4 linked regions of the Elephas maximus indicus genome follow. The protein of the gene in region 2 purifies or fractionates together with the protein of the main gene of each other region. This does not show direct contact. Links are inferred from orthologs where the notes say so. Each region holds a gene or a part of one and is shown on either strand. Other genes may lie near its edges.

The links.
Region 1: the proteins of SNRPB2 (region 2) and SF3B6 purify together in Homo sapiens (affinity purification with mass spectrometry; 4 studies listed by BioGRID and IntAct, with this or other methods). This does not show direct contact. The link is inferred for Elephas maximus indicus from reciprocal best matches to the Homo sapiens genes SNRPB2 and SF3B6.
Region 3: the proteins of SNRPB2 (region 2) and PHF5A purify together in Homo sapiens (affinity purification with mass spectrometry; 4 studies listed by BioGRID and IntAct, with this or other methods). This does not show direct contact. The link is inferred for Elephas maximus indicus from reciprocal best matches to the Homo sapiens genes SNRPB2 and PHF5A.
Region 4: the proteins of SNRPB2 (region 2) and RBM17 purify together in Homo sapiens (affinity purification with mass spectrometry; 3 studies listed by BioGRID and IntAct, with this or other methods). This does not show direct contact. The link is inferred for Elephas maximus indicus from reciprocal best matches to the Homo sapiens genes SNRPB2 and RBM17.

What each region holds. Positions count from the first base shown.
Region 1 is NC_064830.1:41,616,462-41,624,129, reverse strand, and holds the start of SF3B6 (splicing factor 3B subunit 6), read left to right. Parts: upstream 1-4,668; 5' UTR 4,669-4,876; coding exon 4,877-4,906; intron 4,907-7,534; coding exon 7,535-7,653; intron 7,654-7,668.
Region 2 is NC_064843.1:57,035,814-57,043,694, forward strand, and holds the start of SNRPB2 (U2 small nuclear ribonucleoprotein B''), read left to right. Parts: upstream 1-4,878; 5' UTR 4,879-4,958; intron 4,959-6,405; exon of another isoform or gene 6,406-6,521; intron 6,522-7,305; 5' UTR 7,306-7,331; coding exon 7,332-7,395; intron 7,396-7,881. UniProt on the Homo sapiens protein: Involved in pre-mRNA splicing as component of the spliceosome. Associated with sn-RNP U2, where it contributes to the binding of stem loop IV of U2 snRNA.
Region 3 is NC_064822.1:185,615,922-185,622,941, reverse strand, and holds the start of PHF5A (PHD finger-like domain-containing protein 5A), read left to right. Parts: upstream 1-4,002; 5' UTR 4,003-4,085; exon of another isoform or gene 4,086-4,194; 5' UTR 4,195-4,278; coding exon 4,279-4,336; intron 4,337-4,342; exon of another isoform or gene 4,343-4,385; coding exon of another isoform or gene 4,386-4,437; intron 4,438-4,794; coding exon 4,795-4,875; intron 4,876-5,584; coding exon 5,585-5,751; intron 5,752-7,020.
Region 4 is NC_064822.1:52,636,065-52,643,594, reverse strand, and holds the start of RBM17 (splicing factor 45), read left to right. Parts: upstream 1-4,523; 5' UTR 4,524-4,611; exon of another isoform or gene 4,612-4,748; intron 4,749-7,530. UniProt on the Homo sapiens protein: Splice factor that binds to the single-stranded 3'AG at the exon/intron border and promotes its utilization in the second catalytic step. Involved in the regulation of alternative splicing and the utilization of cryptic splice sites.

The sequences.
Region 1 (7,668 bases), on a different chromosome or scaffold from region 2:
TCCAACAGTCCTCCAGGGCAGCTTTGGCCTGGGCACCTACCCACACCAAGAACCAGCACCTCACCCTATTGTACCACCAGTACTGTCAGGTTCTCAAACCATGTTAGCAACGGCTTGATGTTGAAGCTGAAAATCATGGTTAGCAGATAGAACACCTGTAAAGCACTTGACAGAAGCCATGTGCACACCTTCACAACGCAGGCCCAGCAGTAGTTCCAGGTTCTAAAAATCAGCTGAGCTTCTCTGAGAGCCCAAGTACAGAAGAAGGTGCCATTCTGTCAACTCATTTATTCCTCCCCAAGCCTGCTGAGGCCAGCCACGAGTTCACATGAGGGAGCCTAAAGAGACTTCGCTCCTGCCTTTAGGGAGCTCAATGTAACTAGGAAGACAAGATATAGACACGGGAATTTCACAGGAAACAATTAGACAACCATAGAGTTACCAAGTGTGGTGCTGTTTCCAACAACAACAGAAGCTCAAGATGGGAAAGTCGACGTAGGCAAGGATAGTCAGAGAAGGCTTCCCAAAACAGCAGGACTTGAGGGGTAGAGTTGTGATGGATAGAAGGTATGCCGAACATCAGGGGTGACCCAAGACAGAGCGTCAAGGTGAGATGGGCTGCTCTGCTCAGGGGTGAGGGCTGACTACTGTCACTTGTGAGAGATGAGTCTGGTGCCAGACTGTGGTGGCTTTGAATGCCAGGCTGTCTGGACTTGATGAAGAAGCCAGTGGTGAACCACCTTACATTCTGAGCAGGAAGTGACATAACGAAAGCCCCATATTAGGAGGAGCCTGGTGGCTGGCTGTGCTCCTTGTGGTGGTAAGGAGATAAATGGGTGCGTGAAAGCAGCTAGAGGAGGTCACAGGAAGAATGAATGGTGGTTATTCACTCTTGTTGACGTATACAGCAGAGATGTGCATTTTGGCGTTATTTCATAGGTAAAACAGAGATTATGGATATAGCATCTAATAACTGTTTTAAAAGGTTGTTTTCCACTTTGAATAGAGGCAATACAACAAAAAAGAACTGCCTATATAGACAAAAAGGAAGTTAAGAGGGTTTAAGAGATTCGGCATTTGGTGGTCCTGGGGCCAGGTCATCATGGTAGAGTGTGCCTGTGTGGGGAATGTGTGAATGTGTAGCAGTTGCAAAATAAAGAGAATTATTCCTGTACTTACTGTCATAGGAAATGTTCAGGCCAGACAGTTTGTGCTAATCCATGTGGGGTCAAGTGGTGTGGGCACAGCTGCCATCCAACTCACCCAGATGGCTGGAGCTATTCTTCTGGTCATGGCTGGCTCACAGCACAAGCTTCGAATGGCAGAAAAGCTTGGAGCAGCTGCTGGATTCGATTACAAAGAAGAGGACTTTTGTGAAGCAACACTGAAATTCACCAAAGGTAAACAACTGCTTCTGCAGCTCAGCAGGAATGTCAGAGATGATTAAATAAATCCTCACCAGCTTCAAGGTTGCCAGGACTCTGCTAAATGCACAACAGCTGGCCTGGTCAAACTCTAGTACTCTGGGGTTTGACCACTGGGGACAGGCAGTTGGTATTTAGGACTGAGATCATTTCCATATGCATTCCTGCAAATGATATAATTCATACACGTTTTAGAAGCTGGATAATTATCAAGAGTTGACTTGGAATTTTCCAAAACCTCTTCTTCCCAACCAGCCACTCCATAGTGAGTTAATACCAGGCTTGAGGCACTGTTTGGATCTGGAGCTAGTAGGGTTGGGGTAATAGGGTTGTGCATGCGTCTGCATTACAAAGCCAAACATGTATGTTTTTGGCTCATCCCTTTCAGTTTTTCATATGAGTAGAAAATCCAGTGCAGATACTTTGTAACTTAGATATGAACAACTAACCTGCCCTGTAGCCTGGGTAGACCTCCCCTGTTCTGTTCTCACTTATACCTGGGTGCCAGTGCACACTGTACTTAAGTGGTGGTAACAGGAGACACCAAGTCATGGTTTCAGCTCGTTTCCTTCTTGCTGCTCTCTTATGACTAGGGGATCATAAAAGATGAACTATTCACACATGCCATAATAGAGTTCAGCTACTTAAACTACATTTATAACAATGTTTCCATGAGCAATGTTGCTAGTTCCAACCTATAAATTTACCACTTGCACCTGTACTTAATTTATACCCATATATCCACAAACTTTCAAATCCACCAGGCGCTCCTTGGAAACTCTATGGGGCAGTTCTACTCCGTCCTATATGGTCGCTATGAATCGGAATCAACTCAAAGGCAGTGGTGGGTTGGATCCACAAATTTAGGGTGGCTGTGAGTTGGAACCAACTCCATGGCACCTAAGAACCCATAAATATACCATGGAGTCTTATTTTACACCAAGTTTTCTGGGTCTGACTGGCATTACAAATCTGTTTCATGTGAAACGTGCTGGAGCCAACCTTATTCTAGACTGTGTAGGCGGATCTCACTGGGAGAAGAATGTCAACTGCCTGGCTGTTGATGGTTCTCCATGGTCTGATGCGAGTAGCTAACATCAATGGGCCTCTGTTATCCAAGCTACTTTTTAAAGGAGGAAGCCTAATCACCAGTCTGCTAAAATATAGACAAATAGGTACGTGATGTGTGAAAGAAAACACATGGTTTCATTTACATAAAAGTGTGAGAAAGGAAGCTTTGTCACATCTTAGGTTAGGGAGTTTATGTAGAAACCTGCCCCCCTGGGTATATATGTACCCTGATTTCAGAGAACCAATTAGGGTTGGTCAACAGAAACCTCAACATCTGGGAAAAAGGGTGGCTAATGCTTCATACATAAACTTTCTAACAAAATGAACAAAGTATTTAGCATATTAGGAAGTACTTCTAATAGTTCCAAGATTTTGTTTCCAAAGGCACTCTCCTCAGTGTACTAAGAAAGTAATACATGTTACAGAAGTCTGTGTGGCATTCTAGCAGGCACCAACTTCGGGAAAGTTTCCCAATATGGGTTCCACAACCGTTGGAGGAAAGGAGCTCAAACATCCCTTTTGCACAGAGCCTATATAAGTCCTATCTGTGGCTGCCTCTCGCTTGAAGCTTTTATTTAGAAACAGCCCTCTGGCCATTATTGACCCCAAAACCAAAACCAAACCCGGTGCCATCAAGTCGATTCCGACTCATAATGATCCTATAGGAAAGAGTATAACTGCCCTATAGAGTTTCCAAGGACTGCTGACCCTTATGGTTAGCAGCCGTAGCACTTAACGGCTATGCCACCGGGGTTTCGGGTCAATGGCCATTATTGACAGTAGTATTTCACTCGGAGCTTCAGTCCTTATCTGGTACAGAACAGAGGTTACGCATTTGGGGGCCGGCGCACACACGCTAGGAAGTGAAGAGGGTACCCCTGTGTGCTTTTTCAGGTGTGTACCCGTTTCAGAGAGATCAAAAAGTATGGGAAGCGGCAGGGTAAGGTCTCAGTCCAGGCTGACGGATTCCTTTTCCATATCTTAGTATAAGCAAATGCTGGTGAAGGCTTCCACGGAACGAGCTCTGCCTCACTTCTCCACGAAGGACCCCCAACGTCTATTGCCACTTCTGGATAGAGTCTACCTGTTGATGGAAATCCAAGAGGCCCATGTGTACACGGAGACTGACAAGAACATGGGCAAAATCGTCATGAAGCTGCCCCAGTGAAGGCACAGGGTACAGGACACTCCACCCTAGGCCTTCTCAGAGTAAACTTGGAGAAAATTCACAGGCAAGAGTTCGGGTGCTATTCCCAGACCCACCCTAAAACACTGCCCCTTCTCGACCTTTTCAACTGACCCATGTTAAGCTGGCGTTAAGAAACAAAGAGGGTGGAGTTGAAGTGTGGTGTGCTCACTGGCGACCCCAGCTCGCAAACTAGCGCTGACTGGCCGGGTGAGGTGGGAGCTGGGATGACTGACAGGGGGATTACAGGAAGAGGCCACAGAGGTGTGGTGGGGGGGGGGGGAGACGCAGAGAGGGCACTTGCCCCCAGACGCAAGTCCAAGAGGGCATCAGACAAGGCACCCCTGGGCGCTACAAACATGAAGGAGCCTGAGACAGCCGGACAAAGGACCGGGAAAAGCGTTTCCGCTGACGCATCGTCGCTATCTGTTCATCTTGAAATTGGGGGGGGGGGGGCGCAATTCAGAGATTGCCCCTGGGGGCTGGAATTGGCGGGGCAGGGGCGGGGGGCAGGGGCAATTCAGAGACTGCCCCTGGGCGCTCGTTACCCTCACTAAAGCTCTGAGAGGCCAGTCCCGCCGAGGCTCAACTTGGGGAAGGCACTACGGAGGGCTGGAGGTCCGGAACTAGGTTACACAGTCAGCCTCGACACTACCCGCCAGAACCTGTGAACTCCGTCTCGCGCACTGCCAGAAGCCCAGGCTCATCCACGAGTTCTCCTGCACCTGGCTACCCACGTCCCGCAGCCCGGAGCTTCTCGCCAAACTCGGTCCCCTTTCCTCGACCCAACCAGTCTCCGCATCACCCCTCACCGCCATCCCCGTGCCCCGCCACCTCCGGTCAGCTCGCACTGCTTAGGTCCCCCCCCCGACCGGAACACCTTCCCTTCTTGAGCTGAGGCCCCGCCCTTTCCGGCCCAGGACCCGGAAGCATCTTCGACTGTCTTCTTTCACCTTCCGGCCTCACATTTATCTCAGGCTCGCTTTGCTCCCGGAGTCTTCTCGGAAGAGGACCGGTAGTACGTCAGCACGTCTCGACGTGAAACGGCGATTTTCTAGCGTTGTTTCAGCAGCTTCCGGTGGAGGCTGGTTGTTGATGGCCTGCGTTTGACACTGTTGCGCTCGAAGTAGAGCGAGCTCCAGAGGTGTCCGGAGGATTCCAGTCTTAACTACGGTGACTTCATCAGCCTGCCAAGATGGCGATGCAAGCGGCCAAGAGGGCGAACGTGAGTAGCGGGGCCTTCTGCGGAGGAGGGGCGGACTTCGCTGTTTGACTTTCTTAGAGGCGTGCACAGAGCATGCTTACTCCTGTGTCCCCTGGGCGGGGAAACCCAAATTTTCCTGTCCTATCCGTGGGGATTCCACGCTGTCCCGGTCCTCAGGGGTATGCTCATTGAGCCACAATTCCGCCCACACCCCTTTTGAAAGTTCCTAAAGTATCTTAGTGTTAGTGACAGTGCTAGCCCTACAGAATTTGTTGCTTGACCTGTATTTAGGGCCTGGCATCAGAATCTCCTCCTCAGCCTAAAAATTGATAGCATAGACGAGTCCCCAATAAATAATGGTCCACAGGCGACTAAAACTTAAGATTCTCTTCAGATCATAGGGTTTTTTGGGTCCTTCATTAACTTATTGATTCAACAGTATTTATTGAGCACTTGCTGTGTGCCAGGGAGGGAACAATTCCTTAGTTACATTTATTGCACCTCCTACGTGCCAGCTACTAATCTAGGTAATCACTTTTATTCAGCAGTGAATAAAACAAAAAATCCTTGTCCTATAGGTGCTTACATTCTAGCATTAGAGAGTGAGATGTTATGGAAACTTAAAGAAAAATGTCTCAAGAAGGAGATAGTGGTGCTGAGACGCATAATATGATGACAGGTAATTGAACCCTGGATAGGGCTATTAACCGAAAACCAAGCCCGTTGCCATCGAGTCAATCCCAATTCATAGCAACCCAATAGGATTCCAAAGGGTGCCTGGTGGATTTGAAATGCTGACCTTTTGGATAGCAGCCAAGTTCTTTAACTACTGCTCCACCAGGGCTCTGGATATGGCTATGGTGAGATGGAAAATTTTGGTGACACTGATGAGTTGTTTCAGTGTAATGGTGGATGAAAACTTGGTTGTAGTGGGATGAAAAGATGATGGAAGTTGAGGAAATCTCTTTTCATGAGTTTTCATGTAAACAAGGAGTAGGAAATTGAGTTTAGTGATTAAAAAAAAAAAGTTGAGCAATATAAAGTGTATTGTGTGATCATTCCAATGGGAATGATCTGGTAAAGTGGAAGAAGCCGATAATGTACAAAAAGATGTGTTGATTTCAGGAGTCGTGTAGATGTACTCATCTGCTTTTGAGTAGATGAAGGGTTGGCATAGTAACAACCCAAAAAACCAAACTAATTGCCTTCGTGTTGATTTTGATTCAGGGTGACCCTATGCATTTCAGAGTAGAACTGCCCCCTGTAGCGTTTTCACTGGCTTTGATCCTTTGGAAGTAGGTGGCCAGGCCTTTCTTCCAAGTATAGAGAGAGGGAACATAGGTGGATATGGATGAATGTAGATTGGTAGGTTTAGTGATAGGACTATAAGGTACTTACCACTTGGTCATATCCATTTTGTCCAAGAAGTAAGAGCCAGGGTCATCTCCTTGGACGGGCAGGGAAAAGGATACAGCCCAACAAAGGTGTTGGAGTGGTGATAATAAGGTTGAAGACAGAAGATATTTTTGATATAGTGTCTTACAAACTAAGAAAGCAAATTTACCAGAGAAATATATTTCGGTTGTCTGGCAGCATTGATTGTCTATTTGAACTTAACCTTGAATTATGGTCTCTAAAACTTTATTGTACTTGTTCACCAGTTGTCATTACTATTTATAACTGTCTTTTAATATAAAAATAACTGAATAGCTATTGAGTAAATTAATGTTCAGTATCTAATTTATGTTAATCAGGAGCATAAGAGTGAGATCTAGACTGGAGTTACGTATTCCAGGGTCATCAACTTACTGTGGAAACCACGGGTGTGGTTAAGAGGCCAGTCAGAGAGAATGTAAAGAGTTAAGGGGCGTATACAAAGGATCAAGAAAAGAACTCTAAAGATACAGCCCTGTGCAAGAGCATATTTTAATGGTAAAGAAGGCTGAGAAGACCTAGCTAGAGTGTTAGGAGAAAACCAAGAAAATGGATTGTTGCAAGAAGGAACTAATCAACGGTGTTAGAAGTCTCAGGCTAAGTATGATGAGGATTGAGCAATGCGGTTAAAAGCCCGCAGGGAGCCCCTTGTATATATTTTCACTATGTATTCCCAATACCTAACCTGGTGTATAAGAAGGTGCTTAGTAAATATTGTTGGTTGAAGGAAGAGGGATCTAGATAAATTGTTTGTTTTGTGAAAAGATGGGCAGGATGTGAGCAACTGCTTATTGGGAGGACAAGAAGAAGCTAGTGGTGAGGGAAAGGTTGTAAATTCATAAGAGAAGACATCAGTGATACAAGCCCCTGAGAAGACCATAGAACACACATCAGTGGGGATTTTATTGTCTAGCAAACAGGAACAGCTCCTTTCTTTCTTTCCCACATGTAGTCGGAGGTGTTAAGGACTTTTAGATGTGGTTGAAAGTCCGTATTTAACTATAGTGATCAAAAGTCTTGTTTTATCGCAGGCCCGTATTAGTTCCTACTAATGGTCTTCTCTGGAACCATCATCCAGTTGCTTTTCTGAAGAGCATGTCATTTACATCAGATAATAATTCTTACTCTTGGCTTTTCACTATTATGTATTAGAATTTTTTCTAAATGGTAGCACTCCTGCCTGATTATAACGACAACATATATTTCTCATTTTAGATTCGACTTCCGCCTGAAGTAAATCGGATTTTGTATATAAGAAATTTGCCATACAAAATCACAGCTGAAGAAATGTATGATATATTTGGAAAATATGGACCTATTCGTCAAATCAGAGTGTGAGTCTTACTGAT
Region 2 (7,881 bases):
TGCTTCCTTTTTCTTTTATGTCTTGTAAGATAAAAGGTGGTGCATGCAACACCCCAGGGAAACTCCCTTTACATTACACCAGGGATGTGCCCTGAGCAAGGGTGTTACAATACCACCCTAATCTTCTTTAACATAAAATTATAATCACAAAATGGAGGACAAGCAGAAAATACTGGGAATCATGGCCCAGCCAAATTGATACATGTTTCGGGGGGAACATAATTCAATCCATGACATATAGGGAAGAGGTATACGCATAGACCTCTCTGAATGGGCTAAGGAAGTAAAAATATTTGTGTCTCATGTGAATGCTTACCAAAGGGTGACCTTAGCAGAGGAGGATTTTAACAATCAAGTGGATAGAACGACACATTCCATGGAAACCACTCATTTTCTTTCCCCAGCTACTCCTGTCATTGCTCAATGTGGTCATAAACAAAGTGGCCATGGTGGCAGGGATGGAGGTTATGCGTGGGCCTGGCAACATGGACTTCCACTCACCAAGGCCGACTTGGCTACAGCCAATGCTGAGTGCCCAATCTGCCAGCAGCAGAGACCAACACTGTGTCCTTGATATGGCACCATCCCTTGAGGTGATCAGCCAGCAACCTGGTGGCTAGTTGATTACATTGGACCACTTCCATCATGGAAAGGACAGCATTTTGTTCTTACTGGAATAGACACTTACTCTGGGTATCAATTTGTCTTCCGTGCATGTGATGCTTCTGTCAAAACTACCATCTGTGGACTTACAGAATGCCTTATCCACTGTCTTGGTATCCCACACAGCATTGCTTTGGATCAAGGAACTCACTTCACAGCAAATGAAGGGTGGCAATGGGCCCATGCTCATGGAATTCACTGGTCTTACCATGTTCCCCATCATTCTGAAGTGGCTGGCTTGATAGAACAATGGAATGGCCTAAAGACACAATACGGTGCCAGCTGGGTGGCAATACCTTGCAGGGTTGGGTCATCGTTCTCCAGGAGGCTGTATATGCCCTAAACCAGCATCTGATATATGTTGCTGTATTTCACATAGCCAGGATTCATGGGCCCAGGAACCAAGGGGTAGAAATGGGAGTGGCACCACTGGCTATTACTCCTAATGACTCATTCACGAGATTTTTGCTTCCTGTCCCTGCAACCCTATCCTCTGCAGGTCTAGAGGTCTAGGGGTCTTAGTTCCCTAGGGAGGAATGCTCCCACCTGAAGACACATCATTGAATCCATTGAACTGGAAACTAAAAATACCACTTGGTCACTTTGGGTTCCTTATGCCTCTGGATCAACAGGCAAAGAAGGGGTTATTGATCCTGATTACAAGAAGAAGTCAGATTAATATTACAGAACGGAGGTAAAGAAGAGTATGTCTGGAATGCAGAAGACCCTTTAGGTCGTCTCTTAGTACTACCATGCCCTGTGATTAAAGTCAACGGAAAAGTACAGTAACCCAATTCCAACATGACTACTAATGGCCCCGACCCTTCAGGTATGAAGGTTTGAGTCACCCCACCAGGCAAAGAATCACGACCCAGCTGAGGTGCTTGCAGAGGGCAAAGGGAATACTGGATGGATGAAGGAAGAATGTAGTTCTAAATATCAGTTAAGGCCACATGACCAGTTGCAGAAACAAGGACTGTAATTGTTATGAGTATTTCTGCTTTGTAAGTGTGCATCAAATATTTTTGTTTTCTTCACTTATAAAATATAAGATGTAAACAGGGCTATCACATTTTTGGTTGTATATGTGTCTTCTGTATCATGTTAGGCCCAAGTATGACCTTATAATTGTCTTTATTCAGAGATTACATACGGTTTAAGGAGATGTGTACAGGTGCCGAGTTGACAGGGGTGGACTGTGATGGTTAAGATTGTGTGTCAACTTGGATGTGGCACGATTCTCAGTGTTTTGGCAGTCATATAATGTTGAGATCACTTCCCTGTTGATAACTGATACATCATCACCCCCATGATGGGAAATGCTGTGAGTAGCCAATCAGTTGAAGGGGAGTTTCCCTGGGTGTGTGGCCTGTATTGAGTGTGGGTGGACATTCGGGCAGGACTCAGGGGCTTTTGCTCGTTCTGGATCCTGCAGCTAGCTTCTGTTCATCTGACCTCCAGTTCGTGGGACTTGAGCTAGCAGTTTACCTGCAGACTTGCCTACCGATCTTGGGATTCATGGATCTGTACAGCCTGTGAGTAACAACTCTGCTCCCTGGCTGCTGATCTTGGGTTTACCAGCTCCTGCAGCTATGTGAATCAAGAGAAACCTCTTTCCTGACCCAGGGACTTGGACTTAGGACGTTACAGCCTCTACAACCACAAGCCATTTCCTTGATATAAATTTCTGACCCTGTCTATATATATGCTTTACTGGTTTTGCTTCTCTAGAGTACACAGGCTAAGATAACCATCTTCATTATCATCAGGTAGAATTATTAATAATTAATTGCTCAGATGCCCATACTAATGTACAGGGCAACTTGTTCTTTGTTATTTAAAATTTTTTTTCATGTTTATTTTATATTCTCTTTTAATTTGTTAGGGATACACCATAAGTCTTTAACTGAGCTAGAACTATTTACATTTCTTCTAATTTGAATATCTACATAATAAAAAATGTTTTTATGTGATTGTTTAACATTACTTCCTACACTTATGTGCATCGTCATAAGACTGCATTTGTTTTAGTGTTTGTCTAATTTTCCATCAAATTTCAGATTTTTTAGTTACTGAAGTACATGAGTGAACAAAACAGACAAAAATCTTCACCCTTGGGAAGGTTACAGTCTAGTGGAGATTATTTCATAACTGTCTAATGATTTCCACGTTGTTTCAACTTGAGAAACGAAGTTTTAATCCTCCTGGAATCCAGATTTCTGGGCTCCACGGAGGTAGGGTGACCTAGCCAGGCCATTGCCCCGAGACGTTCTTTTGAACCTTGAGGAAACTGGTTTCTTAAAGTCACCTTTAAGCCAAACAAGTCTAGTAAACAGCTTAGTAAAGATTGTTTTGCCTTGGACATTGTGCTCTTTTGAGGAATTATTCATATGCAGTCAGTTTCAAGAAACAGAAACTCTGAAGGTCACCCTAGAGTTATGTTTTAGGGTATATCAGTAATTACTTCAATTATTCAAGACAATGCTGTATTAATTCCTTCCTGACCATAATTTTTCTTTTTTAATCGGTTTTGTTATAGCCCATTTTCCATGGCAATGTCGATAAGATGGGGTATAAGAATCTTGGAGGTTCTCTCCTCTCAGGAACATTTTTGACTCCCTAGTTCAAATGTTACTGCAATTTGTGAATTGTATATTAAATAAACTTCAATCAGTTTCTATTATTGACTTAATACAAATTTTGTTCTAACAGACTTTAGGTGCCCTTTTTGAAATAAAAATCCCCAGCTGATAGAACCAGCTGTCCTCCTTCATCCCTGTGTCCAAGTCATAGCCAGCATTTAAGAAATAACATTTGTGAACCATTTATTTTGTACCTGGAAATGTGCTAATGGTTTTATATTTAGCTCATTTAACCCTCACGGTAATTCCAGAAGAGTTACTATTGTGAACCCTTTTACAAATAAGGAAAGTGAGGTTCCAGGAGCTTAGGTAAGGGGAGGATGGGGGAATAGATTTCCCAATCTTAGCTCATAATAACCATCTCATATTTCAGTAGTTGATACTTAACACACATTTGTTGAATGGATGCATAAACAAATATATTTTTGTTTGTGAATTCCTATTCGGCTTAGCATAAACACTACCTACCTGAATTACTCAAAAAAAAAAAATCTAGGTATTTTCGTGGGGCAGGGAGAAGGTGGAAAGGGTAGTAATAAATTTTTTTTGAATGAGTTTAGCAGATATCTCATGAGTTTTGGTTATAACTCAAATGTGGTTGTCTTAGTCATCTAGTGCTGCTATAACAGAAATACCACAACTGGATGGCTTTAACGAAGAGAAATTTATTTCCTTACAGTAAAGTAGACTAAAAGTCCAAATTCAGGGTGTCAGCTCCAGGGATGACTTTCTCTCTCTGTTTCTCTGGAGGAAGGTCCTTGTCCTCAATCTTCCCATAGTCGAGGAGCTTCTCAGGTGCAGGGACCCTGGGTCCAAAGGACAAGGTCTGCTCCTGGTGCTGCTTTCTTGGGGGGTACGTCCCCAATTCTCTGCTTGCTTCCCTTTTCTATCTCAAGAGATTGCCTCAAGACACAATCTAATCCCTAAAACAACTGCCACCCATCCTCCCTTATTAACATCACAGAGGCAGGATTTATAACATATAGGAAAATCACACAATACCAGGAATCATGGCCCAGCCCAACTGATACACACATTTTTGGGGAGATATAATTCAATCCATGACAGTGGTTATCATAACTGGGGAGATGACCAGAGAGACATCAATTCACTTAACCTGGGCTGCCTCTGACATTCAAGCTCATCAGTAGATTGCTGGAGGAGAGTTTCCTCAGAGTCCTAGGAATCAAAAGCGACTTTATTTATTTATTTATTTGGTATGTTAAACCCGGGGCCACCAGACCCAGAAATGGGAGACCATAGCACCTGCCCCATAAGCGGCATGAGAGGCTATGCCTGGAAAATTATACAGGACTTCGGGAGCTGGAAGGCACCGGACTGAGGTTTTAACTCAAGGTCATCGTGGGGGTAATGAGTGACGACCCTGCCGTTGTCCCCTTACTCAGTGGTCGGGTTTAACTTTGCACGATCCCGACAAAACCCGTCCCTTTCCTTACTCCCCTTTCCCGCCCCTTCTCCCCGCCCACCACGTAGGCGCAGGCGCAGAGAGATTCCCAGCAGTCGCCGCGAGGCATCGATCGACTCTGTGCTCGACTTCTCGACTAGCCGGCGCCCTATTGCGGCGCGTGGTAGCGTTGCTTCCGGTGCCTGGCTGTGTTTCCGACTTCCGGTTCAAAGCGGAGGAGGCCTGCGGTAGGTCGGAGCGCTTACTCTCTGGCTGTTTTGGTTTTTATGGGCCGTTTGTCCGCCTCTCCGCTGTCGGAGCCCGGAGAGGACGAGGCGCGGTGGTGCGCCGGGCACATCGGGCCCGGGGTTGGTCAGCGGTGGGCTGAGTGACGCGCTGGCCCGGCGGGCCTCGGATCTTAGGGGCGCTGTCCCTAGCGGGACCGGATGGGAGCGCGGATTCCGCGCCTGTGGGCTTCGGGCCGGGGCCTTGGGGGTGCGTGCCTGTGTCGGGAGTGCAGTCTGGAGGGACGCCAGACTCCTGCTTAACAAACAAGTAACCGATGCTAAGTCCCAGCCTCCCCTCCCCGCCCCTTGTGGAGCCCTGCCGGCGCGATGGTTAACGGTTCGGCTGCGGGAACCCACTAGCAGCTTCATGGGAAAAAAAGACCTGGAGATCGTGCTCCCATAAAGGCTGTTGTCGTGTGGCGCGGAGCCGATTCTGCCTCGTAATGACACTATAGGACAGGGTAGAATTGCCTCCTAGGCTTTCCAAGGCTGTAAAGGTTTAGGAAGCCGACTGCCGCCATCTTTATCCCTTGGAATGGCTGGTGGGTACTAACCCCCGACCTTTCGGTTGGCAGCCGAGCGCTTAACCGCTGCGCCGCTAGGGCACCTCCAGGTAAAGATGACAGCGTAGGAAACCCTATGGGGCAGTCCAGCGCTGTCCTGTATGGTCGCTGTGAGTCGGAATCAACTCCAAGGCACACAGAAACAGTGCTCCTTTGCTCCTGTGAGGTGTTTACAATTCCCTGTGAGCTTTCAAGTGACTTTTAGCGGTTCCCTTTTGGATTGGGGAGGTGATTCTGGGAACCTCTGTGCTGGTTCAGGCGTCCATCACACCACGCAGGAGATGTTGCAAGAGCCCCCCATTTGATCTCCCCGCCGTCAGTTAGACCTCTGTTTCTGTCACTTCCCTCTTCTTTGCGACCCCATCCCTTCTCCAGATCGCAGGTAAAGCAAGTTTGAGTAGCATTACCGTTTACCCGCACAAGTTCTGTCCCTGTCAGCAGCCCCGTCCTTTGTCAGTGATCTGTGCTGTTCACATACAGTGGGTGCTCCATAGATGTTTGTGAAAGAGGCAGTATGTGAGATTACCCAAGGAGATAAAGCAAGTTCACGATTGGCCACTAAAAAGCTACACACACCGTGAAACAGTGTGGTGGTGTCCGAGAAGTGCAAGAGAAGATACAGGGCTGAATTCCCAGGCCTGCTGCCACGTGTCCTTAGGCAAAGACCTTGACCTGTAAGAAACCAGTTGCCCTCCAGTAGATTCTGACTCAAGACAACCCTATGTGTGTCAGGGTAGAACTGCGCTCCCTTGGGTTTTCAGCGACAAATTTTCCGGAAGTCAGTCTCCAGGCCTTTCTTCCAAGGTGCTTCTGAGTGGACTCCGATCTTTTGGCTAGCCGCCAAGCTGTTAGCTATCTGAACCACCCAGGGACCGTCACCTGCGATAGCGATGAAGAGTCGCTGGTTCAGGGGCTTACTGCTGTTGGACGTTCTCGCGTTTAGCCTGCGGAGTTCTCTTGGGTAGGTGCTGTTACAGTTGTTGCTGTGGAGTTGGCTTTGACTCCTGGCGACCTTCATCCCCATTTTATAGATGTGGACCCTGAGGCTTGAGAAATTAAGGAACTTGACTCCCCCGTCAGTCAGCAGCTCGTGAAGAGCATGGCCACTGTTTGGATTTAGGTCTGGCCAGTGCCAGCATCTGAGTGCCTTTTCACCTTGCGGTCCTGTACCGCTCTGTCTGAGCTGCATTCCTTCACACTGGCTGGGGACGACCGTGGGGTCAGGACGTGTGGCGGTGGTGTGTATCAGTGAATAGGTGTCCCAGTGCTTTTTAAGTGTTCTCATGAAGCAGTGCTTGGCAAACTTCACTAATGTTCTATCTTCATGATTTTTAGTGGACGTACCTTTGCTAGTATCTTTTTCATTTTTCTTAAGATCTACTCAATTTTTCAGTAATTTCATTAATAAAAAGCTGTTTCACTAGGTAAATGGAAAAACAGTATCACTTACTATAAGTAAAAGGTAAATATAAAAGTAAGTGCATTGAACAAAATAATGCTATTAAATTCTGACTAAGTGCTAGTATTTGACCAAGGTTTTGAGCCTGAGAACTCTTCTTTTGTTTAAAAAGGAGAACTAGCAAGTGTTGGACAGGTGTTAAAGACTGCTGCCAAACTGACATTTTCTTGGAGTCAGGATTGAAAGAGAATTGAGAGGTTAATAAGCCTTGTGTTGTATCCTTATGCCACACTGGGCTGTGATTTCATTCTCCCAGTTTATAACACAATATGTACTTTCTCTTTAGGCTGTTTGAACAATTTAATCTAAAACATGGATATCAGACCAAATCATACAATTTATATCAACAATATGAATGACAAAATTAAAAAAGAGGGTAAGTGCTTTAAATATATACACATATTAGTTCACAACTAAAGTGTGTTTACCCAGTACTATCTTAAAAAAATTGAACTGCCCCAAAACTTCTCCTCCAGGCATTTCTCAGTGCCTGCAATAATGGTTTGCTCGTTTTTGTGTAACGATTTAAAGTTTTTTAAATAAAATGAAAATATGTAGGGACTAAAAGTGTGTGGTGGAAACCCTGGTGGTGTAGTGGTTAAGTGCTACAGCTGCTAACCGAAAGGTTGGCGGTTCGAATCCACCAGGTGCTCCTTGGAAACTCTGTGGGGCAGTTCTACTCTGTCCTATAGGGTCGCTATAAGTCGGAATCAACTCGACGGCAATAGGTTTGGTTTGGTTTTTTTTTTTTTTTTGGACAGTGTGCAGAGTCTGTTTTCACTCATACTGGTATTGTGGTTTCCAGTAACTTTTTAAATTACATGACCAACAAATAGCATGCTGTGTTTTTACTGAAATATGT
Region 3 (7,020 bases), on a different chromosome or scaffold from region 2:
GAGAGCACCATTCTCAGGTTATGAGCATGAATGGTGCCCTGGTCAACAGGCTGTCTTAATGTCAAAGGGAAGGAGTATAGTACATTTGCTAGGATCTTGAGCTTTGGAACCAGAAAGGTGCAGATTCGAATCACATCTGCTAGCAACTAGTGATAAGGCCCTAGGCAAGATAACAAGCATATACCACTTGCTAGGAACCATGCAGGATTCTAATTAATCTGTAACAACAATATGATTAAAAAAAAACAGTTGCTGTTGAGTCAATTTTGACTCATGGTGACCCTGTATCTGTCAGAGTGTGCTCCATAGGGCCTTCAAGGGCCGATTTTTCAGGAGTAGATTGTCAGGCCCTTCTTCCAAGGAGCCTCTCAGTAAATTTCAACCTCCAACCTTTCAGTTAGCAACCAAGTACATTTACCGTCTACACCACCCAGGGATGCCATAATATGATCATTGAGAATTAAATAAGATAGATGTACTATTATTATCCATATCTTACAGGCAAGGAAACAGTCACAAAGAGGTAAAGGAATATGCCAAGGTCATAGCTAGTGAACATTACAGCCAGGGTTCTAATCCAGGCAGCCTGATGCCAGTCCATGCTCTTCACTATCATTACACTATGCTTCCTCTCTAATCCGCAATTTCTTCATCTGTAAAACAAAGCTAACAGGTCTGCCTTATCTCGCAAGGTCATGTGAGATTAATGGCAAACAGTAAGCTAAATGTTAGCTACTCTGAGTGGTAGTAGTTAGTCATCATTCTATTATCTACATTCACCTTTGGTCTAGCCAAGGGCAGAAAAATAATATTTTGGCTGAGAAACATCTCCGAGACCCTCTGCTGTAGGGTATATTAGAATATAGTGGAAGCTCCATGAGAACAGGCATTGTCTGCTTGGCTCACCACTGAATCTGCAGCAAGCAGTGGGAGCTCAATAAATGTGTGGTGAATGAAGAAGGAATGAATTGAATGCATGGACAGGGTTCTGCCAAGACATGGTAACTTAGGTAGAAAGCATCACCTCTCAAGTGTAGCTCAACACAAAAGAGGTAAATTCACAAGGTTCTCAGAGAATGATGTTAGCTAGCTATTACTTAAGACAGCCTGGCTACAGGAGGCAGGGTGGTACAATGCAAAGTGGAATAACACAGATGCAAATTCTGCTCATTCATTTTAGCTGAATGGACAAGGCGACCTGGATTTTAATCCTGGTTCTGCCATAGAGTAACTGGACTATTACTGGAAGTCACTCAGGTTTCTCAAGGTCTTGGATTCTATGACGATCGTAAACAAATACATTCTACTTGCTCATCACTTTATAGACAATCTGAAAAGAAGATTATCAGGTACTCAGTAAATGTTTCTTCAGTGAAGGTCATCCTCAAATGACAGATGATAAAACTGGGATTCAGGAAGTAACTTGTTCAAGGTCACAGGGCCAGGGTAGAACATGAACTTTCTACACAAGGTTAACATTCATGTTTTCCAAGATTGCTTTCAGTTCTAAAACATTGTTAATATACCTCTGCAGTGCAATTAATTACTTTTGGGTGTTGCCTTTCTAGCCATGGTCTTATAACTCCTACCCAGGTGACTGGGTAGGACTGTGTGATAGGGTAATTGTGGCCCACCAAGAGGACTGGTCAGTTTTGCCTTAAAAGAGACCCAACTCCAGAGCAGGGAGGAGGATCTTAACACCTTCAAGGAAGGACAGCCAGGAGTGGAGAGCAGGTCCTTTGGCCGGGATCCCTGCACTGAGAAGCTCCTGGAAGCAGGAGAGCGAGCTGTAACCCTGAAGATGGTGAGAAGCAGTGGCAGCAGAGATGTGGCAGCAGGAGACAGCATGTGGGCCACTGAGAGAGAAAGCTGAGTGCCTTTGGGGAGAGGCCGAGGGTCAAGAAGAGGTGAGCCTGCAACCACAGCTGGGGAGAAGCTGTCCTATGGGAAAAACTGTATCCTGAGTGTTCTGGAGCCTGAATTGTAACTGTTACTTCCCTAACCAGCTGCCAGGGAGTTGATTCCAACTCCTGATAAACTCCTTAGTCCTGAGTATGGTCTGTGAGTTCTGTGTGGCCACTGCAATGAATTATAGAACCCAGGAAAGAAGTAGAGAGCGCTGTGCGAAGGATGACTGGTGTCCGAATTGTTAAAGATGATAGAGCAGGCTTGTCTGGCCTCCACCTCTAGCCTTGCACTGTTGATCTTGGTTCTCCTTCCCCCTTGTGGGGCTGGAGGTCAGACGCCATCCTCATGCCATTTTTAAAAACTCTTTTCCATGCTCAATAAATTTGTAATCATTTATCTTATCAAGTAATCTTGCCTGACTGCAATACATCATGGTAAAACAGGAGTTGTACAACTATTTTCACATCATCAACCTAGAGAATCAAAAGACCTTAAGAGATAATGAAGTGCATATCCCTTGCTTTTGCCCAAACTGTGAGAAGTATTTTATAATACTTAAACCACAGTCTAAACTTAACCAATGTGATGAAAAATAACTTCTAGTACCGCAACGCTTCCTGAAAGTACAGCACACAACTTTCCAATTCTATAATCAAAGTTGCGCCACTTGATTCAAAAGTATTCACAAAGTTAAACATAAAAGGTTGCAGAGAATGTCTACGAGTGCTTTCTTCCTTTATTTTTATTAACAAAATACTCCCCTGACATTGAACCTTTGAGTATAACACCTTCCTAAAGATTGTCAGGGGCCCTAGTGGCACAGCGGTTAAGCATTTGGCTACTAACCAAAAGGTCCGTAGCTGGAATCCACCAACAGCTCCTTGGAAACCCTATGGGACAGTTCTACTCTGTCCTACAGGGTCGCTATGAGTCAGAATCGACTTGAGGTAACTGGGCTTTTTTTTTTTTTTTAAGGATTGTCAAGTTAGGTAGGGGTAAAAAAACATTTGGCAGTCACAGTTACAGTCAACTTTCTAGACGGTTCACAAAGGGAGAGTCAAGGTCAAACTGTTGAGCCTCATTACCCTCCCATATGTTACTGTAAAAGGAACTAATTGTGAGCACAAAATACTCCATTCTATTATTCTTCAAAATACAAATGTTAAGTCCAGCATCACGCCTTTTCTCAGTCTGTGAGGGCTGGCTGACGTGGAATTAGACCAGAGGGGTAGGAGGGCAGATGTCAGGACACAGCACTACAGTGACAGTGACACTCTTGAAACTTTTGCCTACTTCCTAGCACTTTCGCCACCTATCAAAATGAGAATAATCATCTCGCTAGACATGACTCAAATGATATGATGAGGAATTAAGTCTTGAAATCACGGGCAAACGTGAGATACTGCTATTGTCACTATTATTTACTACGTCGGGCAAGAAAGATCCCCCGCGCACTCTTGGCTGTGAGTTCCGCAGGGTCCTCAAAGGACGGAATAGTGTACTGGGCGAACTGGCTAGGAAGTCTCTGAGACTGAGATAGGAAGTGAGCCCTTCAGGCACTGGGCCTAACGGGCTCTACAACGACCGCACCCCCCCCCCCAGTCACCTTGTCCTCACCTTGAGGAACGGAAAGAAACCCTACGAGAACTGGCAGTGCGGTCCTCAGGAAGGAGAAAGAGGAGCCTGCACTCTCCATTCGGCCGCCGCTGCTTGTGCTTATACTTTACCGGGGGCGGGGAAAGGGCTGCGGCAGCTAACAGAGCCTGGGACGCCTTGACCTCGGGCGTCAGAGAGGCGGGCACAGACACTGGGCCCACGGCCGGGACACTACACGAAAAGTCTGCCCGAGGTCGGGCCCGCCTCGCCCACGGCCGCAAGCACAGCAGGAGGCACCCCGCCCCCGTGAACCCTGAGGGCCCTGAGCTCGCTCACCTGCAGCCGGGTCACTAGTAGGCTGTAAGGCGCCATTTTGTGCACTGACAAAGATGAGGTCGCGTGAAAGTGACGTGCCAGACGACAACTTTAAAGACTTAGGCAGGGGGCGTGGCCTGACGAGAACACAGCGCGGTGGGGCGGGGCCTCCCTAAAGGCGCCCGAGCCCAGCGAACGTAGACGGCAGAGCCGCAGTGTTAGGAACGGGCACGTGAGAAGAGAAAACGCTCGTAAAAACAGTTACGGTAATTAAATGCCTGTACAAAGATGTTTTATCGAAAAACAAATTTCGGCTATATCTTCCATCAAAATCTGGGAAAGGTATTCATTTTAGGACTTTCGCGCTCCTGCCAGGACTTACTTCCGCAGCAACCACAGAAGCTCTTCTTGGAACGTAGTGGCTTTGATCTCGCGAGGGGGAGCGCGGCTTAGTGCCTGATGGAAGTCTCCAGGACCAGTCATAACGACCAGGAGGCAGGAACAATGCGGGTCAAAGGTCGGGCGGAAGTTCCGGAAGCTTCCGGTGGCAAGTTTGAGTGGGAGCTATGGCTAAACACCACCCGGACTTGATTTTTTGCCGCAAGCAGGCTGGAGTTGGTGAGGCGGCGGCCTGCCCCCGGCTGTCTGGGTGGTGGTGGTGTTAGGCGCTGGGAGGTTGGGAGTTCTCATCACTTCTCTAGGGCTTTGTCTCGGAGCCGCCACGTTTCCCACCTCACGGTCGCGGGGTAGTGTAGGAGCGCGCGGGAGGGAAAGAGCGGGGCGCGCGGGCTGTGAGCCAGAGGTGGGCAGCAAGGGTGGGGTCCCTGGGACAGGGTTCCGAGAACGGCTGTCGCAGGTTGCCCCTGATCCCAAGAAGGGATCGTGACTGTAGGTTTGGTTCGGATGGAGGTCTACGAGGATAAGATGACTGTCCGTTAGAGTTCACTGTAGTCCCTGTCATTGTCCCCACTCCAGCCCTCTTCGTCAGAACCCTAATTCTAATGGTGCTCTATATCTTCTTTGCTCTTGCAGCCATCGGAAGACTGTGTGAAAAATGTGAGTGGAACGCGTCTTCCCAGCCCCCCCACCCCTCCCACTCAGTGGAGTCAGGGAAAGGGTATTTCCAGCGGTGCCACAAAGAGGACTTTGAGTAGATGGGACTGGAAGCATGTGGACACGGGATCCCAGGCAGCAACCATAGACCCTTTCCACCTCCCCACTCTGACTGGCACATTTTAAACAGTGCATTTAGGTTTTGCAGAAATCTCTAGCTTGAGATACGAAGAATCGCCAGAGTAGCATGACCCCCAACCTAACATACACAGGTCTTTTTGCTGCAGTTATGTAGAGCTATCATCTACCAAAAGTTGGTAGTTCGAATCCACCAGCTGCTCCTTGGAAACACTATGAGTCAGGATTCTGAGAAGCACTATCTCAGGTTGCCCCAGACCTGAGAGGGGCTTCAGGAAGGGATTGTGACTGTTCTGTCCTATAAGGTCACCACGAGTGGTAATCAACTTGGCAGTAGTGGGTTTGGTCTTTTTGGTTTATCTACAAGGGGCTGTGCTATGCTCTTTATGTATGTTAATGTTTTGTAAGTGTTAAGGGGATTGAGATGGATACTGGGTAATGGCAAAGTAGAGGAAGGGCCCTAAACTCACTGTCCAAAAGAAACTAGTACACCACCCATAGCTGAAGGAGGGCAAAGCACTTGGGAGAGGAAGTACTTGCAGGTGAGCATAACTCCATTCACTTTTCTTCACAGGCGATGGCAAGTGTGTGATCTGTGACTCCTATGTGCGTCCCTGTACCCTGGTGCGCATATGTGATGAGTGTAATTATGGCTCTTACCAAGGGCGCTGTGTGATCTGTGGAGGCCCCGGAGTCTCCGATGCCTATTACTGTAAGGAATGCACCATCCAGGAGAAGGATGTGAGTGTTCACAAAGCTTTCTACCTGACCCTTCCTTTTATTTAGTAACGCTTTGCCATCCACAGCAAATTTTTATGGTCTGCAGAGATGACTATGTTCAGCTAATCACCTAAGTTATCATTTTTTCAAGCTCTGTGAGCCAAACTGGGTGTAGCTCAATAAAAGGCAAGAGAAGTGCAGAGAAGCAACTCTTTGTCAACACCTGCAATTTGGAGAGCCCTGTCTCTATTCCTTTGATGTCTCCCTGTGGTGGTTGTTACCCAGAAACAACATCCTGCATTTGTAAGTCCTAACACAGGCCATATTGTATAAAAGCCACTCAGCATATCTCTTGCTTCTGCTATCCTTAAGGGCTGTTTGGGTGGATATGGTGACAAAGTTGAGTTTGGGACAACTTGAGCTGGTTTCAGCTTTAAGCAGCTAAAGAATGCCTTTGGTTTAATGTTGCAGCATTGATTGTGGTTCTGCCTCATGATATTTTTGTTCCCTGGCATTGTGTAGTCGCAGTGGCTAGTTACTAATGTTCAACTCCCTGAGCCAAATGGCAGGAGAGAGGGCTTATAGATCAGCACCAAAGACAAATTTTACCGTTTTTCTTTAGATTAGTACTGGCAGCAGGCCCCCTGGGTTGTGGGGGAACCCGTGAGTCAGTTAACTTGTTTTCTCAGAACACTTTTTTAATTTATATTTTCCACATCTATTCCGTGTTTGTTCTGCATCATCCATGCACATCGTCTATTCCACGTCTGTTAAAGGTAAATTCCACCACTATTCTACATCTATTCTGCATATGTTCCACATCATCTGTTCTTAGGACACTTTAAAAGGAAGTATGTTACAGTCCCATTGGACTAATAGAGGGGACCTGCTTACCTAGTAGGAACCCTTGTGGCACAGTGGTTAAGTGCTTGGCTGCTAACCAGAAGGTTGGCGGTTGGAATCCACCAGCCACTCCATGGGAGAAAGATAAGACAGTCTGCTTCTGTAAAGATTTACAGCCTTGGAAACCCTATGGGGCAGGTCTGCTCTGTCCTGTGGGGTCACTATGGGTCAGAATTGACTCGACAGCAATGAGATGTTTTTTTGGTTTGGTTACCTAGTGTAGGATAAGACAAAAGGTAAATATTCTTCATGTTTTGGTAAACTTACAGTGGGTACTTTATTAATGTTATTGCCCTTATTCCACACACTATGTCAAATGGGTGTCATTATTATCATTCCCATTTTACAGTCCCCCACCCAGCTAATAAGTGGCAAGCCCAGGCTGTC
Region 4 (7,530 bases), on a different chromosome or scaffold from region 2:
CAATATTTGTATCTTAGATGGCTGCTCACAAGCTTTTAAGACCCCAGGCACTACTCACCAAAACAGGAGGTAGAACATAACTTTATGAACTGTATTATGCCAATTGACCAAGATGTCCCACAAGACTACAGTCCTAATCATTCAAACCCAGATATCCAATCTTACAAAGTGTCTGGTTATATCTAAGGAGTATCTCCTGACTTTAAACCAATCAGTATCCCCTTGTTCTGTCCAAACAACTGCCTCTTGGTCGATGTAAAGGTTCCTCGTGAGCACAATTAAGTCTTCTGGAATTCCCATTCTTCGCAGTGTTATCCATAGTTTGTTATGATCCACACAGTCAATTGCCTTTGCATAATCAATAAAACACAGGTAAACATCCTTCTGGTATTTTCTGCTTTCAGCCAGGATCCATCTGACATCAGCGATGATATCCCTGGTTACACGTCCTCTTCTGAAACCAGCCTGAATTTCTGGCAGTTCCCTGTGGATATACTGTGGCAGCCGTTTTTGAATGATCTTCTGCAGAATTTTGATTGTGTGTGATATTAATGATATTGTTCTATAATTTCCACATTCAGTTGGATCACCTTTCTCGGGAAGAGGCATAAATATGGATCTCTTCCAATCAGTTGGCCAGGAAGCTGTCTTCCGTATTTCTTGGCATAGACCAGTGAGCACCTCCAGCACTGCATCTGTTTGTTGAAACATCTCAATTGATATTCCATCAATTCCTGGAGCCTTGTTTTTCGCCAATGCCTTCAGAGCAGCTTGGACTTCTTCCTTCAGTACCATCGGTTCCTGATCATATGCCACCTCTTGAAATGGTTGAATATCAACTAATTCTTTTTGGTATAATGACTCTGTGTATTCCTTCCATCTTCTTTTGATGCTTCCTGCATTGTTTAATATTTTCCTCATGGAATCCTCCACTATTGCAACTCGAGGCTTGATTTTTTTCTTCATTTCTTTCAGCTTGAGAAACGCTGAGCGTGTTCTTCCCTTTTGGTTTTCCATCTCCAGCTCTTTGCACATGTCATTATAATACTTTATTTTGTCTTCTTGAGAGGACCTTTGAAATCTTCTGTTCAGTTCTTTTACTTCATCAATTCTTCCTTTTGCTTTAGCTGCTTGACGCGCAAGAGCAAGTTTCAGAGTCTCCTTTGACAAGGGGATACTGATTGGTTCGAAGTCAGGAAAGGTGTGCGTCAGGGTTGTATTCTTTCACCATACCTATTTAATCTGTATGCTGAACAAATAATACGAGAAGCTGGACTATATGAAGAAAAATGGGGCATCAGGATTGGAGGAAGACTCATTAACAACCTGCGTTATGCAGATGACACTACCTTGCTTGCTGAAAGTGAAGAGGACTTGAAGCGCTTACTAATGAAGATCAAAGACCCCAGCCTTCAGTATGGATTACACCTCAACATAAAGAAAACAAAAATCCTCACAACTGGACCAATAAGCAACATCATGATAAATGGAGAAAAGATTGAAATTGTCAAGGACTTCATTTTACTTGGATCCACAATCAACACCCATGGAAGCAGCAGTCAAGAAATCAAAAGACGCATTGCATTGGGCAAATCTGCTGCAAAGGACCTCTTGAAAGTGTTGAAGAGCAAAGATGTCACCCTGAAGACTAAGGTGCGCCTGACTGAAGCCATGGTATTTTCAATGGCATCATATGCATGTGAAAGCTGGACAATGAGTAAGGAAGACCGAAGAAGAGTTGACGCCTTTGAATTGTGGTGTTGGCAAGGAATGTTGAATATACTGGACTGCCAAAAGAACAAACAATTCTGTCTTAGAAGAAGTACAACCAGAATGCTCCTTAAAAGCAAGGATGGCGAGACTGCATCTTACATACTTTGGACATGTTGTCAGGAGGGATCAGTCCCTGGAGAAGGACATCATGCTTGGCAGAGTACAGGGTCATCAGAAAAGAGGAAGACCCTCAACGAGGTGGATTGACACAGTGGCTGCAACGATGGGCTCAAGCATAACAATGATTGTGAGCATGGCGCAGCACCAGGCAGTGTTTTGTTCTGTTGTGCATAGGGTCGCTATGAGTCGGAACTGACTTGACAGAACCTAACAACAATAACAACAAGAAGTATCTGGAAACCCTGGTGGCGTAGGAAGCCCTGGTGGCGTACTGGTAAAGAGTTATGGCTGCTAACTAAAAGGTCAGCAGTTCAAATCTACCAGAGGCTCCTTGGAAACTCTATGAAGCGGTTCTACTCTGTCTTATAGGGTTGCTTTGAGTCGGAATTGACTCGACGGCAGCGGTATTGGATTTTTTAATAAGAAGTATGTGTAACTGTGCTACCTATGTGTTTTATTATATATATGAATATATGTACGTATCGTCACATAGCCGGATATAGATATACATATGCATACACCTATTATCTCAGTTATCTAGTGCTGCTATAATAGAAATATCACAAGTAGATAGCTTTAACAAAGAGAAATTTATTCTCTCATAGCCTAGCAGGCTAGAAGTCCAAATTCAGGGCACCAGCTCCAGGGGAAGGCTTTTTCTCTCTGTTGACTCTGGAGGAAGGTCCTTGTCACCAATCTTCCCTGGTAGAGGAGCTTCTCAGTGCAGGGACAGCAAGTCCAAAGGACGCGCTATTCTCCTGGCTCTTGTTTCTTGGTAGTATGAGGTCCCCATGTCTCTCTGCTCCATTTTCTCTTTTATATCTCAAAAGAGATTGGTTTAAGACACAAAACAAACTTGTAGTTTGAGTCTTGCCTCATTAAGATAACTGCTGATAATCCCATCTCATTAACATCATACGGATAGGATTTACAACACAGAGGAAAATCACATCAAATGACAAAATGGTGGACAATCATACAATACTGGGAATCATGGCATAGCCAAGTTGACAGAATTTTGGGCGGGACACAAAGCCATGGCACCTACATATGCACACATGTATGCGTACCTATACACATGTATGTCGACATACATGTACACCCCTACATGTATTTTTTGGTTGCTTTTGCTGTTGTTTCAAAACTCCATACCTGTTACTGTTACCCTTTGCCATGGAGTCGATTCCGACTCATAGCGACCCTATAGGACAGAGTAGAACTGTCCCATAGAGTTTCCAAGGAGCGCAGGGTGGATTTGAACTGCCAACCTTTTGGTTAGCAGCCATAGCACTTAACCACTATGCCACCAGGGTTTCCAAAACTACATAGGGTTACCAACAGGTCCTTTTTTCTTTTGTACTTTTTAGTGACATCATTTTCCTTTGTCAAACTGTGTACAATTCACCTTCATTTGGTGTTACCTTTCCCGTCACCCAAAATAACAAGTGTCTACTATCTAAAGAGTGAATTCCCCGCTTCCCCAACCCTCCAGCCCTGGTAACCGCTAATGAACACTAATCTCTGTATATTTATTTGTTCATGTCATTTCATAGAAGTGAGAACATACAATTATCTGTTTTTTTGTGGTTGACTTTTTTTGCTCAACATAATGTATTCCATGTTCATCCATGTTCCAAGATGTTGTGGGAACTAATTTTTTTTTTTTTTATCACTGAGTAGTATTCAACTGTATATATGTAGCACGTCTTACTTATCCTTTCATCTGTTGACAGGGACTTAGATTGTTTCCATCTTTTTGCTATTGTGAATAGCACTGTGATGAACATAGGTATGTATATGCTTGTGCCACTTCTATTAGATTCCTAGGGTATATACCTAGGAGTGGAATTGCTGGATTATATGAAAGCTCTACCTCTAGATTTTTTTAGGAACCACCACATTGTTTTCCACGAGGGTTGTCCCATTTTGCATTCCCACTAGCATTGGATGAGGTTCCAATTTCTCCACATCCCCTCCAATGCTTGTTATTTTCCTTTTTCAAAAACAATCTTGGCATCCTAATGGGAGTAGAATGGTATCTCTATCAGTTTGAAATATTCTTGGCCTCCAATTTCAGTTGTAAAAACGATCGTATTTACACAAAGTCCCACTTTCACTTCCCCTCCTAACTTTTGTTAGTTACATTATTTTTAAGTTGTGAAGGTTTATAACATTTACATTCATTGCTGTAACCCTATTCTCCATATCTGTTGTTTTCTTAACCTTACAGTTCAATCATTTCAACGCTTACTACCATTTCCTCTGCTGCAGTTTCCCCATTCATCTCGCCCAGGGATTTATTTTCAGCTTTTTGTATATAAATGAATGGGTTTCAATGAATTAAAATGAAGAGCCAGGAGGAATTCTCTCTCCCTCTCCCTTATTAGAAGACATTTGGTTCCCATTGAGATCTTTGCAACCTTGGACCATTTCTACTTCTTACCGTCCGGGGTCACTGTCACCCTCTCCAAAAAAAAAAAAAAAAGTTATGAAATTTCAAAGGTTGCGCCAAGGCGACACCTTTTGGTGGAAGAAAAAGACGCCGACGGAGGGGAGTCTGCAGTGCAGACCTCCTACCGTCAGGGGGCACTGCTGCGAGGAGCCAGCAGCGTAGGCGTCCCCTCTCTTCCGGCAGTACACGTTCTCTGACCCCCGCGCCGCGGAACCTCCTGCGGATTTGGCGTAGGGGTTGGCGCCAGCTGTGGGCTCCGGTCGTCGGTAGGTTTACGCAGAGTGCGTCCAAATCTCCCTTTTCCGCGGCGCTTCCGGGCTCGGTACGGAGCTTGCGCGTCTCGGACTGCGGCTCCGCGCTGCCGCCGCTCCGGCCCATGGGGAAAGTCGGCCGGGTGGGCCGGGTAAGTAACCCCCTTCGCCGCCACGCCGGCGGCCTGGCGCGGAAGCTGGGGCGGGAGCGCCTTCCCGAGACAGAGCTGGACGTGAGGCCGCAGCTTAGGCCGCGCCGCGGTGGGAGCGGAAGGTTTTGACCCGGGCCAGTCTAGAGCTGCCGACGGTCTCATACTCCAACGCTTTCGGGTTCCTCTCTCCCTGCACTTTCTCTCGCATCTTTTGCGTTGGTCTCCCCTTGCCTCTGGCTCCCATGCCCAGGTGCTGCCCCCGGCCTTCTCTGTCCGCCGCATTTCTCATCGCCTTCCTCCGCCCCGCTCTTGACTCTGCAACTCCTCGCAGCACCTCTGCCACTTTTCCTTTATTTTCTTCTAGTGACCCAGTGCCTCTCATTTCTCCTCTTTTCCCATCCTTCCCTTTCTTGTCTGTCTGTTTCAATCTCTTTTGGACTAAAGAACGTTCCTCTCTTTCGTTGACCATGTTTAGAAAAAGTTTATCGGTCCCTAGTTTTTTTAGCCACTAGCTTCTAGCAGCCAGGACAATATGTCACCTGTGGCCCAGCTCACTTGCATCGCTCCAGGGCTCAGGGAATTAAATGGAAAGAAGGCATTTCCATCCCTGGTCTCAGAACAGGGAATTCCAAGTGTTGGCATCTTTCAAAGATGGGAGCTTACCTGGGCAGATGGAGGAAGTCATGATTCCGGTGTTACCTTACTCCTTGTCATTGTAAAGGAGTGTTTTAGTTGTGATGTTTAATCACCGAACAACGTGTTGTGAACTGTCCAGACAACAACGTGTTGTGAACTGTGGATGCAGCATGAGTAAGATTTTGCCACTACTCAAGCGTTTGGTCTCTAGGGAAACCGGCATGGTTGTGCTTGGGTTGATATGAGGGACTAAGGTGTGGTTTGGAAAGGCTTTAAAGAGGAGGCGATGCTTATGCTGAGTTTTAGAGAATAAATAATATTTTGTTAGATATACAAAGTATAGGAAGAGTTTCCTGCAGAGAAAATAAGTGAAAAAGTAGCAGAGGTGAAGCACCATAATGTATTCTGGGAACTGCAGGTAAGGCTCAAGAGAAACATTTGAGGAGAGTAATTGGAAGGGTAATTAGGTCAGATCATAGAGGTTCTTTGAGGAGAAAGTAAGGGAAAGCATTGAAGGCACTAATTGGAAAAACTAGGCATATGGGTGGATATTCTAGGTAAGTGCAAGATTCTGCACATACTCAAGTAGATGGGTGGATGAGGACTTCTGTGACTTCCTACAACAGGTGGAGATTTTAAAGGATGCATCTCAGTTTCTACATTTTTACTGGATAAAGGCAGCAGGCATTTTGGGTAATAATAAGGGTTTTTAGGGAATAGAGGACAATTAATAACTTAAATTGAGCGTGTTTTATTTTTAGAGTTTAGAAAGAGTAGGTTGTGTGATAGATAATGTAACAAGGTACAAGTATTAGCAGTGAAGAGCTCGTCTGACTGTGGAGTTCAGTGGTTACTAAAGATAGCTTTTATGGAAAAATAAAGAATTTTGAGAGAATTGTTACGCACTCCTAGATGTGATTTTATTAACTGTGTTTCTTTTTAGCTGGTTGTTTTAAATTACTTTCTTAGTTTTTGCCGAATGTGAATTCTTCAGACCTCCCCTGGCAGGGAACAGATGATTCAGGTCTAGTAATCCCTCAAGCCTTTCATAGTAGTTAATTGTGAAGGATGTTCTGTTTTATACCTAAATTCAAGTGAAGTTTGTTTGTAACACACTCCAGTGTATGGCATTGTGGAAGTAGAGTCTTTGAGAATGAATGTAAATATTAAACTGTGACAAGGGTGTCCCTGCACTGCACCCTAGCTCCTAGACCAGGGGAAGATTTATAACAAGGACCTTCCACCAGAGCTGATAGAGAAGAGAAAGCCTTTCCCTGGAGCTGACACCCTGAATTTGGACTCCCAGCCTACTAGACTGAGAATAAAATTTTCTTTGCTAAAGCCATCTACTTGTGGTATTTCTGTTATAGCGGCTCTTGATGACCAAGACTGAATTTGATACCAAGAGTGGGGTGCTGCTTTAACAGATACCTAAAATGTGGAAGCAATTTTAAAACTGAGTGGATAGAGGACTCAGAAGGAAATGAGGAAAGCTGTTACATTGGGGTTGGCACAGACAGCAAAGGACTGGCAGCAGCAGAACCAGAAAACCAGCACCACATGGTGCTGGACCTGACCCACAGAGCGAGAGAACTGAGTGTGTTTGCACAGGAGGCTTCCTGGTGGAGTGAGGTGCCTCTGAGCACTTATTGGTGGAGCTAGGCTTGCTGACCCACTGAGCAAGAGAGCTGAGTGCCTTCCAGTGGAAGTTTACTGGTGGGGTGGGTTGCCTCCAGGTGCTTATCGGTGGAGCTTCAGAGCTCTGGAACACCTGCTCCAGCAGGGCATATGCGGGTGGTGAGGCCCAAAGGGCCAAGAGGACAAGGAAGCAGAAGCTGAAGAAACAAGGAACACTAAAAGCAGAGCTGCCTCAGTCTCAAAGGGCATGGCCATGACCTCTGGGGTCTCTAACGGTGGAGCCATGGCCTTTGGAGTTTGAGTTTGGAGTTTGAGGGGGTGGAGTTGCCACTCAAATGGACTAGGAAAACTAAAGCCGACAGAGTGGAGTTGCCATTCCAGTAAGCCTGGAAAGCAGAGCTGAAGCCCAGGGCTGAGGGGCTTCCACTCAGAATCCTTTGAGTGTGGCCAATACCTAGAGTCTGGAGGGCAGGGCCATTGTGTAAATGGTCGCACAGAACAGAGGATT